2 linked regions of the Oryzias latipes genome follow. The protein of the gene in region 1 interacts with the protein of each later gene in a biochemical or structural test. Links are inferred from orthologs where the notes say so. Each region holds a gene or a part of one and is shown on either strand. Other genes may lie near its edges.

Evidence for each region. The genes of interacting proteins can lie anywhere in the genome.
Region 2: the proteins of drap1 (region 1) and dr1 form a complex in vitro, tested with the Homo sapiens proteins (2 studies listed by BioGRID). The link is inferred for Oryzias latipes from reciprocal best matches to the Homo sapiens genes DRAP1 and DR1.

Annotation. Positions count from the first base shown.
Region 1 is NC_019876.2:27,235,299-27,242,907, forward strand, and holds the start of drap1 (dr1-associated corepressor), read left to right. Parts: upstream 1-2,711; 5' UTR 2,712-2,921; coding exon 2,922-2,963; intron 2,964-4,960; coding exon 4,961-5,033; intron 5,034-5,298; coding exon 5,299-5,392; intron 5,393-5,594; coding exon 5,595-5,720; intron 5,721-7,609. Other genes in the region: UPF0696 protein C11orf68 homolog, read right to left, coding at 1-270. UniProt on the Homo sapiens protein: The association of the DR1/DRAP1 heterodimer with TBP results in a functional repression of both activated and basal transcription of class II genes.
Region 2 is NC_019862.2:24,027,277-24,034,855, forward strand, and holds dr1 (protein Dr1), read right to left. Parts: upstream 4,374-7,579; 5' UTR 3,756-4,373; coding exon 3,536-3,755; intron 3,366-3,535; coding exon 3,202-3,365; intron 1,975-3,201; coding exon 1,828-1,974; 3' UTR 703-1,827; downstream 1-702. Other genes in the region: retinol dehydrogenase 8-like, read right to left, coding at 5,882-6,115, 6,234-6,417, 6,808-6,901, 6,973-7,152, 7,307-7,468. UniProt on the Homo sapiens protein: The association of the DR1/DRAP1 heterodimer with TBP results in a functional repression of both activated and basal transcription of class II genes.

The sequences.
Region 1 (7,609 bases):
GAGACCTTCAAGGTCCTTGTCACTGGACTGGTCACTAGGGCCCCTCACAGAGATCCACCCCACGGGGCCGACGCCACTCTCCTCGTCACCAAACCTGCGCACTTGGGAGGGCCGGTTACTCTCCAGCCAGGCATCAAACTCCGATTTGGGAGTTTTTCTGCAGTCAAAAATAATCCAGGGATCCATGTCTCCAGCCAGGGCTTCGGCGGCATAGTGATCTGATGCAAAGTTCTCCCTTTCACCGTTGGCAGAGGCCTCTTCTTCCTCCATGATGCCGTGAAGGTGAGACTGGAACCGAGCAAGGAGTGTGGAGCTCCCTGCTGAAAGAAAGCAGGAGTTGTGTTCATGACGGCACGAGTGAGGGAGACTTACGCAACACAGAGGCTGAACTTTGGAGCAGCATCTTAAGGCCGTGTCACACACCCACTACGTTCCTTTTGTACATATTGCACAGATAAAAATGACCACACAAGGAAAAAGTGAGAAAAGTCGTGGTCTTTACGTGAAATTTTCAGAGCTTTATCACGATGAACCACATTAAAACCACGGAAGAAGTAAAAATGAACCAAGCAAAGAACACGATTTGTGCCTAAATTACGTAATCTTACTGTGATATATGCTGTAGATATAGTATTAAAGTTGTAAATTCATTGGTGTTGCATGCGTGAAAAATCTATTAGACACACGTGCAGCTTTTATAACCTCCTGGTGTTCTACGTTCCTCACTGTATGACATCTCTTGAAAGAAAAAAGTCAAAAATCAACAACTAAAACACAAATGTGAGTCTCGCCCAACCACAGAGGAAGTTTGACCTGTGGACCCACCCAGATGAATACAGTGTTTTTTTTAATGTTTTTACTGCTGATGGAGGAGATTTATAATAAAACATAGACGTAAACATTTATTTTTGAGGATTTCTTACTTCAAATTGTTGTGAATGAGAAAAGCATTAAAGGTAAAGATGGAAACAATGCGGCGACCCCTGAAGGGAAATGCAGAAAGGTGAACAATAAGGATCAGGTGTGTTATAGCAGAGGCGTCCTGGTAATGCTTTAGGGGAACACGGTCCATCGACCATCCACGATTGAATCACGGCAATCTCTTTTCATACACCTTTTACTCAACAGAGTCCTTGAATGATTTCTCAGCATAAACTCAAAAACACCAAATGACTGGATGTTGCTCATCTTTTGTAAATCTGAAACCCCTTCCAGAGCAAAACGTTGCACAAGGATAAGTCTCTCCAGTCAACAGGAGCCGATCAATCTTTACGACGATGCAGGGCGGGTCGCTCCTGAACCGCTGGATAACACAGATTTATCTGTAAGACATGTACGGCTGATAAAACAGATTCAGGGGGGGTCAATAAAAAAACGTTTTCTGTCTTTACATCGTCCATACCACACGCCTGAATATTTGAAATCCTTCGTGACTGACTACTAAGTTTATGGGAAAAAAACTGTTAAGGAATCATTTACATGTTTAAAAAGATGAAAAAATAAATGAATAATGCAGGCGTTTTATTTGTTTCTAAACCAGTAATAAAATCAGAGACATGACGTGTTCTAGATGTGACCGTTCACCCCTCAGTGGCATGGTTCCAGGCTGTTCTGCCTTATGAATCTGGATGATAATCTCTTTATATGTCCACCAGACCAAATCTTGAATTTCTCTTTGTTGCTTTTTTACCCACAACTGTGTAATATTAAACCCTTGGGCCACAAAGGGGTCTAAGATTTGGCAGAAAGGCCGGACCGGGAGCTGTTGTACAGAGTGTTTTGGTATCACAACTCATGAGATGAAGAAATAACGTGGAATCTTGACAAAAACATCTGTAGCTTTTGATAGAAAATTGACATACATGTAGAACATTTTGGTGTCTTTATTTCAAAACTGTGGCTTTTCTTCCCATTTTAGAGCCATTTGCACCAATGGATTGATGTTCCTTTAGGGAAAAAGTAAATTAGAGTAACGCTGCGTTCAAGTGGAATTGGAATGATAGAAAAATGCTTCCCAGAAAAACAACATATATTCCAAAACCACATGCAATGCAAAATGAGCTTCTGCATCTGAGCAACAGCCCATTTATTTGTAGAGAACCATCTATGGGGAGGCACCAGAATTACAGGGAAAAGCAGGAAACTGGTTTGAGGCTGCATTTATCTTTTTTCTTTCTTTTTATGTCTGTCCACTTGTCCATTACATTATTTTCTAATTTTGTTTTGTTTTTTTGTTTTTGATGTTTGTATGAATATTTTTCGTTGTTTTTTTGTTTTTAAATTCTTAGTTAATTTTGGATTTTTAAGGGCTATCACCTCTGAAGGGGGATTCATAGCATTTAGGGGAGGACATTACCCCCCTTGCCCATGCCTGTATACGGCCTCGATTCACCGCTGTAATAAAAAGATACACCTGGAGAGGCTGGTTTGACATTGAACAGTTTTAAGTGTATCACAACCTTTCTTCTTAATGAAAACATGACTGGACTTTATTTTTTGTTTCTTAAAAAATGTTCCATTAAAGTATTATGTAGTAGTATTAGTTTTTTGTGGCTTTTCAGGACACTATTTTTTTTTCCAGTGATTTGCTGTTGTGTTTCAGTATTTGTTCATTTTTACTGGGATTTGTTGTTGTTGTATCTGGCACTTCTCGGCCACCGTATTTTTTCTCTACACACTAATGAAATCTGAGAGTAGCGCAGCAAGTGCCAACATGACCGGCGCTAGGACCTGGCAAAAGCAAACGGATCCCTTCAGCTCCTCAAGCAACGAGGAACGAGATGACGACAGCGCGCTAACAACTTAGCCGGATAGCTAACGCTATCTGGTGTACGTGCGGTGGAGGTGAATTCACATGAAATAGCAGTATAACCCCAAACATTTAACATTTTATTTTAGCTCAGTCACCAGGTTATTTAATTATGCCGAGCAAAAAGAAGAAGTACAACGCCAGATTCCCTCCGGTGAGTATAACCGTAAACTATCGGGTGTTGGGAGTCGCTAGCATTAGCAGACTGAGTGGGATTTGGCCTCTTTTGTTGCCAAGAGAATTAACAAGCTAAAGCAAGACTTTTCTAATGCAATTCGTTCTCCATCACCGAGATATTGTCCGTGTAAATAAAGCAGGTAACTAACTAATTCACGAGTCGTTCCCCGAGCAGTTTAGGCTGTGCGCCCTGTTGTTTTTAGCCTGTTATGCTAATCCTAATCTGGTATTATAGCTGTATAAACGGACAGTGATGGATCACAGCGCTGTCACGGCACGGCGCCCTTTAAATGTCACGTTTCTGCACCATCTAAATGAAGTTCTGGTTTGGTGTTTGTGGGATTTAGCTGATAAAGTCACACCATTATACCGATGGATGTTAATATTAGACAATAAATATTGGGATTCAGATGATAATAAACGAATCTGGGTGTAAAATTACAATAACCAGAACACGGGCTTTGATTTTAGAGATTTTGATTTTAATGTAAAGAGTCTCAGCAAGAGTGGATTAAACATAAAACTGGAATATTGAAAGACAACGCAATGTACAGAGGATCTCACTAAAGTGAGTACACCCCTCACTGTTTTCATTGGACACAAGACTTTTCGACACAATAAAATGTAGTCCGTGTTCATCTTTTATAGTAGTGAAAATTTTTTTCTTAAAAAATGACTATTAATATAGCCAAACCCCTGGCAACAAAAATGAATTTGGCATTTTCCTTCTCCGATATCATGTGACTCTTTACTGTTACAATGTCTCAGGTGTCAATAGATAGCAGGTGTGTTAAATATAGCATTAAAGCTCTTACACTCTCTCAAACTGATCACTGGAAGTTAAACATGGCTCCTCATGGCAAACCACTCACTGAAAAGAAAAAAAAGAATTGTCGGTTAACGTAAAGATGGCCTAGAAGGTTACCAACGGAAACGGTGCCCCCAAGACCATCCAGCGGTTTAAAAAAGACAGCTTTGACTCAGAACAGGTCTCGCTGTCGTCGGTCAAAGAAGTTCGTCGCACATTCACAGCATCACATCCAAAGCTGACCTTTGACACACATATGTATGAGAGCGTCGAGCTTTGCTGCAGGGGTGAGCCTGTCAGTGCTCAGACTATACGCCACAAACTGGTCTGCATGGCTGTTGTCCCACAAGAAAGACTTTTCTAAACGCGATGCACAAAAAGGCCCAGAAGTCAAGCAGACTAAGGAATGGATTACATGTTCTGTGGTCTGATGAGACCAAGATAAACCTGGTTCAGATGGCGTCAACCAGGTGAGGAGGACAAAGACAAGGGTGTCTTGCCTACAGTCAAGCACGGCGTTGGTCGAGTCATGGTGTGGGACTGCATGACAATTGGGGGGGGGGGGGGGGGTACAGAACCCCCAGCTTCTTCTCCTTTTTTTACATACTTTTGATGATTTTTACACAATAATTCTACAATGAGCATCAAGCTGTTCATAAAACTAAGTAACTTTTTACTGTAAAACCCACAAAAATTGAGATATAACAGTTTTTATATGTTTTAGAACAAAGATCAAATATGTGTAGATAAAATTAAAAGGCATAAATCCAAAAACAAAGCAAAGGTCAAAACAATGAGAAAACAGGCAAAGCTCCACTCAAAGCACTAAGGGGTATCACAATTACAGTATGTGTCATAACTCTTGTTATGTTATTTTAAACTAAAAATGTTAAAGCTAATAACCTTTTGAAACCTTCAGGTTTGATTTTGAATAGAAACGATGCAGATGAGGGTGTCGGATTTATAACTGTGTCATTGTGGCTGACAAACTCAACTGTGGGTCTGCAGAGGGCTAATTTGTTTCAATATTCCTTTTGCTTTCTCTACTTTTCATGGTTAGACTGTCACCTCTTTGGATAAACTGCCTCAGATTGGGCGTTTTTTTCTTTTGTTAAACATGTCGTCCTCTCATGTCCTCACGTAACACCAGACTGTTGTCTTTTCAGGCAAGGATCAAGAAGATTATGCAAACAGATGAGGAGATAGGAAAAGTGGCTGCAGCGGTTCCTGTCATCATATGTATCCTTTGCAAACGTGTTGGAACGTCACAGGGCCTTGTGGGATTTTTGCATGTGTGCAAACCTTTTGAACCGCTGCCCGTGTTTGCAGACAGAGCACACGCATGTGTGTCGCACTAATCAGCTTCATCTCAAGGGCAGCGGTCAGCAGATTTGTGCATCTCTGCAGGTTTGGTTCTGGTTTTTGACGCTTCAGGAGGAAGCGGTCTGTGCAGACGTTTTGTGCAAACACGGGTGAGTTATTATGTTCTTAATCAAAGCATCAGCCAGAGCTCTGGAGCTGTTCCTGGAGTCTTTGCTCACAAAAGCCTGTCAAGTCACGCAGTCGAGGAACGCAAAGACCATGACGATGTCCCACCTGTAAGTTTCTGAAAGAATCCGCTCTCCAAGAACACGTGAAAATGGCTTTAGCAGATGAAAGATTTTGGAGGATGTGTGCCAGTTACATCCATGTTGCAGTAAGGAAAAAAAACAAAACAATGGAAAGGCATTTCGTTGTTGTTCCGCTCAGTCTGCTGGATGGGAATGACTGGAATGGATGTGTGTTTTTTTTTCACTCCAGAAAACAGTGCATCGAGTTGGAGCAGCAGTTCGATTTCCTAAAGGACCTGGTAGCAACGGTACCGGACATGCAGGGCGAAGGGGAGGACAACCACATCGAAGGCGGAGGGGAAAAAGTCCAGCGCAGGTATCTCTGTCCCACAGGTGGACGTGGAGAACAGAATGAAATGAGGCCTAGCAGCTGCCTATGTGATCACGTATGTGTCACGCTACAGAATAACCTGGTCTGTGTTTGAGCAATGAAAATGTGCTCATGGTCTTCTCTTGTCCTGAATTAGTCAGAAGGCCTCTTGTTTCACCTGGCGACCTTAAAGGGCCTATAACATGATTTGCTGAGGCTTTTCAGAGTAAACTATGTCCATATACGGTGGGGCAAAAAAAGCATTTAGTCAGCCACCAATTGTGGAAGTTCTCCTACTTGATGAAGGAGGCCTGTAGCTTCATCATAGTCATAGGTATACCTCAACTATGAGAGACTAAATAAAAGAAGAAAATCACATTGTCTGAATTTTAAGGAATTTACTAGTAAATTATGGCGGAAAATAAGTATATGGTCACCCACAAACAAGCAAGATTTCTGTCTGTCACAGACATCTAACTTCTTCTGTAGAGGATCCTCTGTCCTCCACTGGTAACCTGTATTAATGTCACCTGTTTGAACTGGTTATCTATAGAAAAGACACCTGTCCACAACCTCAAACAGTCACACCCCAACCTTAACTATGGTCAAGACCAAAGAGCTGTCTAAGGACACCAGAAACCAAACTGTTGACCTGCACCAGGCTGGGAAGACTGAATCTGAACAGGTAAGCAGCTTGGTGTGAGGAAATGAACTGTGGGAGCAATTATTAGGAAATAGGAGACACACAAGACCACTGATGATCTCCCTCCATCTGGGGTTCCTGTCAACATCTCACTCCGTGGATCAGAATGATCACAAGAACGCTGAGCAAAAACCCCAGAACCACACGGGGGACCTAGTGAACGACCTGCAGAGAGCTGGGACCAAAGTAACAAAGACTACCATCAGTAACACACGACGCCACCAGGGACTCAAACCCTGCAGGGCCAGACGTGTCCCGCTGCTAAAGCCAGTACATGTGCAGACCCGTCTAAAGTTAGCTAGAGAGCATTTGGATGATCCAGAAGAGGATTGGGAGAATGTCCTATGGTCAGATGAAACCACAATAGAACTTTTTGGTAAGAACTCTACTCGTCGTGTTTGGAGGAGAAAGAATGCTGAGTTGCATTCAAGAATTTTTTAAAATTTCCTTAGGGATTATTAAAGACCAATTCTATTCTATTCTAAGAACACCATCCCTACTGTAAAGCATGGGGGTGGAAGCATCATGCTTTGGGGCTGTTTTTCAGCAAAGGGTCCAGGATAACTGATCTGTGTCAAAGAAAGAATAAGTTTAGCCGTGTAACGTCAGACTTGGAGTGAAAACCTCCTTCCAGCAGCAGGGGCATTGAAAATGAAACGTGGCTGGGGGTTCCTGCATGACAAAGATCCCTAACACCCGTTTCCGGGTAACGAAGGAGTGGCTTTGTAAGAAGCATTACAAGGTCCTGGAGTGGCCTAGCCAGTCTCCAGGACCCCATAGAAAGTCTTTGGAGGGATTTGATTTTTTCTGAATTTTTATCTATTTTTTTCTCTCATAGTTGAGAAATGTGATGAAAATAAAACTCCTCTTTTTAAGAGGGAGAACTTGCACAATTGGTGGCTGACTGAACACTTACCTGGCCCACTGTATACCTGAAATATGAGTCATTTCCGCAGCTCTTTTTCTGCCCGGAAGTAAGACGACTTGACCCCCGAGGCCCCGCCTTTACGGAATTAACATAAACACGAAAAAGCTCAAAAATGTTTGCATAATATCGGCTCTTTAAAATCAGAACTTCAGTTTGTATTTAAAGATGAAGTATGAGGGCTGGTCATATATATAAAATAAATACATACATTTTTAAGAATAAAGTCAAACATTTTTCAGGATAAAGTTGAACATTTTTGACAAA
Region 2 (7,579 bases), on another chromosome or scaffold:
GCGCACTGTATAGTGGGTCTACATGACCCAACTCCCAATGTTAAAGTGCCTAGGATAGCACAAGGGTTACAGGTGCAATTGCATAAGGCTCCATAAACTTTAGCAGCAAAAAAACAGCCTATGGTGGCCTCCACAGCAGAATAAACAGCTGTCATTCACTCTACAGTAAATGTTGCAATAGAAACATTTTATTTCATTAGTAAAGGTCAGGTTTGAGAGTAAAACTGTTTTTCGCTTTCATGGATTTTTGAAAAGCATGCCGGGATCAAGTGACGTAAATAGTATATGAGGGTAATTTACATAGCGGTTTGCTACCTTCTAAGAAGCCCTTTACAGTCAGAGACCCATTCACAAACTGATAGCAGCTCTGCTGCTGAACTCTGGCGCCAACATATAACCTCCGGGGAGCAATGTGGGTTTCAGTGGTGACAAGGACACTTCAACACATCGCCAAGCAGAGCGGAAACTGAACCAGCGACCTTCCACTCATATGTCGACCACTCTACCACTCCACATTTTGTTTCCACAAAATGCATTAAGCTCAAAATCAAGATTTAACCTAATTATTGAGCAGTAGTTTAATTTAGTCTATACTTCAGAAACATTGTTTTTGATCACAGTTCTGCCACTTTTAGTTGATAGAAATATACTAATGTAGTAGTTTATTTTTATTTTGTTATTTTTTTCCTAGGAAGCATGAAGCAGAATGTACTTTGCTTTATTATACAAAGGTCATAGAAAAAGATACCATAATAATGTAAGCAAGCAGAACAGTACATCTTAGAAGATTAAAAAAAAAAAAGTCTATAAAAAATTATTTTATTGTTGAAAGAATACATTTCTGTAGAACAGACAATAAATGCATATCACAATAAGGTGGTTGGTTTTTTCCAAAGATGTCCCAAATTCCTGATGGAAATATATTATGTTGTAAAAGAACTAGAATGGAAACTGCAATGTAAGCCTAGACACCCAAGTGCCTCACAGAGATTCAAGTTTATTGTCTTTGACATGGTTTTTAGAAGATCTTGACTAAGCAGCACCTACATCTAAAAAAGGAAAAGAAAACTACAAAAGTTAAATCCCCCATCTTTGGTTCTATGAAACAAAAATGTGTAGGTGCTGCTAATTATCAATACTGTGGGTGTTTAAAGGAAAAGAAGTGCCTGGATGATCTAAAAATTAAACAATAATGCCTTTTAAGTTCTCTATGTAGCAAACAGCAGTACATGGGCATTAGCGTCCTGCCATTAGCCTATGCTCTCTAAATCTAACCCTACACAGTACACAGGCAGACGCTGATGCACAGATACCAACACACATGCTGCATGAATTCACTTTGACAAATAAACCGAGAAGGGAGAAAGATGCAGAAAGCAGATGCTTGGAAATTCCTGAACAGAAATTCTGAACATGTTTGAGCTCCAAGGATGAGTTGAACAGATCTTCTAATGCCGTATCAGAAGGAGCAAAGATCTGCTGTGAATTTATCTGTCACAAAGTCTGCTCTTTGAACGTGCTCTCAACACGTAAAGAAAAATCTATAAATTAACAATGAACATAAAAGTGAAAAAAAAAACCCAGGGGAATATAAATTTAATGAAAAACTTCGCAAACAGCCTTTCCATTTTTACCATTTTCCGGTAAAAACGCTTCTTTGAATGTGCATGTGGGGCCGTTTCTCCCCTCGCATCCCTTTCTTTAGCTTTCTAAATTTCAAGTACACAAACATGTTTTAAGTCCCTGTTCATGGCAAAACTGAGATTTGTGTACCAAAACTTTCCTAACGTTAAATTCAAACACAGTAAAGTGGGTCGCGGGGGGGGGTCACATTTCGTCCTCTTCGTCTTCATCCTGAGAAGAGCCCGCCTGCTGGGCAACGCTTGCAGATGCTGCTGCCATCTGTGCCTGCTGGGCAGCCTGCTGCATCTGCAGCCACTCCTGCTGTTCAAGCTCCGCCTGCTGCTGCCGCGCCTGCAGAAGACGCACATTCTATCATGAGTGCTTGACACAATGTGGCACTTCAGGTTTACCCATTCAAGCTCATGGCAACCTGCAGTGAGTCCGGCCGGTTACTGCAGAAATAATAGTTTTTGGTAATTTTTTAAATATATACCGTACATGTAACTTCTCAAAAAGGTTTATCTTGTGTTGTTGGATATTTATTAAATGAATATCAAATACAACGCAGCAAATCAAACAAAGCAATACATAGGAACAAAATGTTTTTTTTAAAGGAATGTGAACAAAATACATCTCTCTGACCTTAAAGACCCACTCAAATAAAAATCATGCTTTTGGTGTTTTTAACATGTTCTTGTAGCATTTTTCTAGCTTACAGCCCCTCAAACCCCCAACCTAACTTTACCAGTGCGACAAAAATGATAAGCAATATTGGATTTCCAGCTGTATAGCTGAGTCGGAAGCCTGTTAAGACGAGGAAAAAGACGTACATGGATGCATTTGTCTGCAAGAGGATGTATCAGAATGGAGCAGAGAGGGAAGCTTGTGGCCCGCCGATTGTAGCTTTTTCCACACAGCATTTTGTCGTTTGCTCCTGACTCAGAACTATTTGAATGAAGAAATGCTCAGAAATGTAATATGAAGCTTGTTTTTCTTATGATACGTCTTCCATCATCAGAAAAATGCCACAAGAAGATTTTAGAAAACACCAAAAACATGATATTTTATTTGAGTGGGTCTTTAAAGTAAAAAACCTTTAGCAAAAACACACCATGGCCTGTCAGTTAAAGCTGAAAGGGCCACATTAACTTACTTTGAATGAGCAGAGAGTGCTTTGTTTCAGGACAATCAGCATAACTCAAAGAGGAAGTTACATTCAGGTTGATTTAAATGTGTATGCCTATATGATATTTGAAATTGTTTTGTGTGTACATGTCTTCATTTCTACAATACTTGACAGGAAAAGATTTTTTTTCATCTTAAATACTTCCTCTATGAGCTTAGTTAAGTATTTTCTATTAAAACACCTAAATTTGTTTGCATCCAATCTTAAAGGGGATTGATATCCTTAAATGGAATGACCAGTTTAGAAACTTTTGAAAATGTTAACAAAACCAAGCCCTTCTGTACCTCAAATGAAAAGTACAAGTTGTGTGCCCGTGTTCATCATGATCTGTAGGTTAATATTATTGTGGGTGTTCAAGCCACATTTGAAGGTGCAGTTTTCTGAGATCAGACCTTGGCAAATAACTCCTGCTGCTGCCTCAAGAGTTCCTCCTCCGGAATGCCCAGGTTTTCCAGTCGAGAGCTGGCCTTCCTCCTCTTAAGAGCAACCGTTTTGCACTCCTGCAGCACGTCTTTCACCTCTGTGATGTACGAGCCGAAACCAAGGCTCTCGAGGGCTGTGGTGCAGAAACACGAGGTTGAAACTACACTTTCTATGATGTGAAGCTTGCAGGAGGATCCGTGCTCCTTTGCATCCCCCCCCCCCCCACACACACACACACACCCACCCACATAAAGGACGAGCGATATTTAAAGAGGTGGTAAATACATGTAAATGAGAACCAACCGTTAATGACATGCTCTGGAGATATGGTCTTCTTGTCGGATTTGTTACAGATCTCATTCGCCTCGGAGGAAATAAGATGGATGAACTCTGTGCAGCAATTGACCACAAGCTCCCTGGCATCGTTGGCCACCCGTACGTTAGGCAAAGTTTCTTTGATCATTTTGTTGATAGCTGCTCTCGGTATGGTGAGGTCGTCGTCATTTCCAGACGAGGAAGCCATAGTGATGAAAAAAGGGGGGAAAGGAACAGAATAGTGGAACTCCGCTTCTTCGAGAAGATTTATCACGCGTTCACTGTCTTCTCTATGTCCATGTTACAGTAGACAGATAACGGTTCAAGAAAATATCGATGGAAATGTTGCCAAGCGAGCTAGTCTAAGTTAGCCCACTGGCTAGCTTACCAACCAAATGTCAAACAATGAGCAGGTTCTGTTGCTTGAGCGGCGCTCCTATATCGTATTTAATCGGCGAATAAATGTCCAAGATTGCTCTGAAGCTTACAGTAAAAAAAGGGAGGGGGAAGAAAAATTATATCCTTATATCCGTCGTCCGTGGCGAAACTGAGACGCAGCACACAAGTCCAATGAAAGCGGAGAGCATGGCTAAGCTAAGCTAACAATTAAGCGCAGATGAAGCGGAGCTGTTTGCTTTACGAAGCGCAAGAATTATAGTCAGTTCTACTCGTAAATAATTGGAGTATTTATATGTAAGTCCTGAACTTGACCAAAATTTGATTGCAGATGTTTTGTTTAGGTTTATAATTTGGAGTTGTGTACTGTACAAACATTAGCTGAAATGTGTCCGGTTACGACGTCAGACAAAGGGCGTTTTTGATTGGCTCCGAGTGTGCGCTATAACAATTTCCGGTGCCCACCAGGATGGAGTCGGGTGGTACAACAAATGATTGGAAATTGTTCCGCAGGGAGCTACAGATGTAATTATCTTTTTTTTCTTTCGTTACAAAACCAAACTATTATCTCTGATTTTTCTAAGATTGCCTACTTTTGGAAATATATTTATTTTAAATGAAGAAAAAAAAAGTATGTATCTACAAATGCATTGTTTTTAGCAGTTGTAACATTAATATTAAGAATAATTTGATTCATATAATTTGTGGTTGCTGATATGATTCATAGTTAATTTTAGATCATAGTGAACCAGTAAATTTATTACGATTCACTGACCTTATTTTGATCCAGAACATCTTCAGCCAAATATTCAACCAATGTGGCTCAGAGATAAATACCTGGGTACTAACAGTGCAAGGTGAAGTTTTTCCACATTCCTTGTATTTCTTTCAAGATAATCAAGTGTAAATTAAATATGTGTACAAACAAGCCAGTAATCAAGTACCAATGTCAAATCCATTCACATTTTAGTTTCATAAAGTTTTGCCTACTGTTGTTTTTCCACATAAAAAATAATACAAATGGAACATTATCAGAACATTCTACCACACTGTTTGGTCACGTCTTTGCTAAATCAAAAGTGTTTTGCTGTCATCTCGTGTGTGTGTGTGTTGTCCACTGTGATGCACGTGGTCATTTTTAAGTTACAGTAAAATAAACCTACAATGCCTCAATCCAAATGGTATTTTTCAGTAAAGATTATAGTCAATTTAATTTTGAAATGATCTTATGGTATTTATCGATTTGATTAACAACTTGTCTCAGACTTTGATCTGGATAAATAAATTAATTAAGTGTTACATCCCTACTATTCTTTGTTTTATCTGACTTAGAGTTGCCCCGTTGCCATGTGTGAACATTTTGTTTTTAAGTTATATTTACACTTCCAAAAAGTGTAAATATACATTAAATCAAGTTCTACCTGTAGAACTTGATCTAATGTAATTTCTAAAGACAAACATTTCAAAATGCCAAACAGTAGTTTCTCTCACAATGATCTTTATTTAGTGGCATAGAAAAATTAATAAAGAAATAGAACTTCCTTTGAAATTATGATAAATATTGTTGTTAGTGTTAGTTAATTCGTTTAAATAATAATTTTGGATTTTTTAACAGAAGCTAGCCAGCTTATTGAGAGCAACAGAAAAATATAACTGGGAACAATTTTACAATAGATCAAAAGATGGTAGAAGTGGGATTTAAACATGTTTAAAGTGAATTTTAATTAACACAGTGGAATTCGCCACTGTGTTAACTGTTTAAGCAGTTCTCATGCATCAAAATTTACACACTTCTCAAACCTTTTTTATTTAAGATTGCCTTCAAATACATATACTCTCTCAATTCAAATACTACTTCTGTAGAAGGCTTTTCAAAATGTAATTTTAAATTCTGAACCACTGATGTATTTTGCATTTGAAATTAAAATCCTGAAACACTCAGTTCTTGTCTTTTTCCAGGGTGAAACTCTTGCGACTTCTCCAGCGCAGAAGTTTGAGGAAGTTAAGGCTAGCGTTGAAGACTTTGTCGTGCTCAAACACCATCTTGTAAAATGTGTCAATTGGAAGGTCACCATTGGGGTCGGCATATTTGAGTGTTGTCATGGGGGTGTAAAGTGTGTTTGTCTGATGGCGAAAAGGCGGGTTCTCCATGGTGATGATCTTTAGTGTGTGCTGAGAAGAAAACACACAGCAAAAAAATCAACAACACTAAAACAAAAGAGAACTTTGCTTCAGAATGTCAAAACACATGACATAACTGACACACGAGCATGTTTGGGGGGCTGTGTACCTCTGCGATGTCTTCAGCACTTTGTCCAAGGGTTTCAAAGATTTGCTTGTAGTTCTTCAGGTAGATGTTTGTGAACATATCAGCAGTTGGTTTGTCAGCTTTGCTGAGATCGATCTTCACACCTTCGTCATAGACCTTTCGTTCAAATTCTGTCAGCACCGGGCCTGGTTCAATCAAACTGATGCTAAAAACATAGTTCACAGTTTTAATTACAATTGCTTGGATTCTGGTAAAAAAAAAAAGGGGTTGAAATTTGGTTTTCTTTTGTAACTAGGCATTTTAAATTATGTGTAAACTGGAAACTGTTTTTTGTAATTTGGAAAGGGGTTTAGGAAAACCTGGTGTCTTGTCGTTTCACTGTTATACATATTTAGCAATATTTGCCTAGACAAAATTGATGATGTTTCTCTATTGGTAATAAAAAAAAACCTAACAATGGTCACTTAAAATTAACTAAAGAGCCCAACACAACCTCCATAGATATTAAAGGTGAACCCAAAGTACATCAATGTAAACAGTGTCTATTAAAAGACAGTTACTAACAATTTTGTCCTTGTGTGTTTGAGTATCTTACTTGAGATTAAATCTCAAGGCTTGTATAGCCAGGCTCTCACAAAAACCTTCCACTGCAAACTTGGATGCTGCGTAGACGTCGTTGAACAAAATCCCTAAAACAGAGAACATCACAGGTCAGAGAGTCACAGACAAATGATCAACTAGGCATTGCAGCCGTCCTCACCTTGAATGCCCATCACGCTGCTAATGACCACGATGTGGCCTTTCTTCCTTTTTTTCATGTCGGGTAGGATTTCCTTCAGCAATCGCACAAGTCCGAAGAAGTTTGTGTCCATGACCGTCTTCATCTCATCAATAGACTGACATTCAATGGGTCCGATCAGGCCCATCCCTGCATTGCTTACTTTTACCAGGAAATAAAAATGTGGGGGTCATGTTGACAAAGTGTGCTCAAAAGATGTTGCACGAAAAAGAACTTCAATAAGTCTGTTATGGTGCGTCATAACACTTATATCAAGACAATACTCATGTATGAAAGGAACCTAGAGTCGACATACTGAGGATGTCCACCCTGCGTTCTGGTAGGCTGTCAATACAATCTTTGATGGAATCCTCATCACAAACATCCAGCTTCTTGATCTCCAAGGTTCTGCCCAGTGTCCGACCAGCCGCATCTATCAGTGGCTTAGCCTTGTGCAGGTCCCTCATGGTTGCATAGACTGCAAGAGAAAAACATTCAGTGGAAGATGCAGTTTTTAGTTGCTGTGTCACTAAATAAAAGTAGTTTTATAATAAGCACAATGACCTCTGCTTGATTTTAGAGGCTCTTC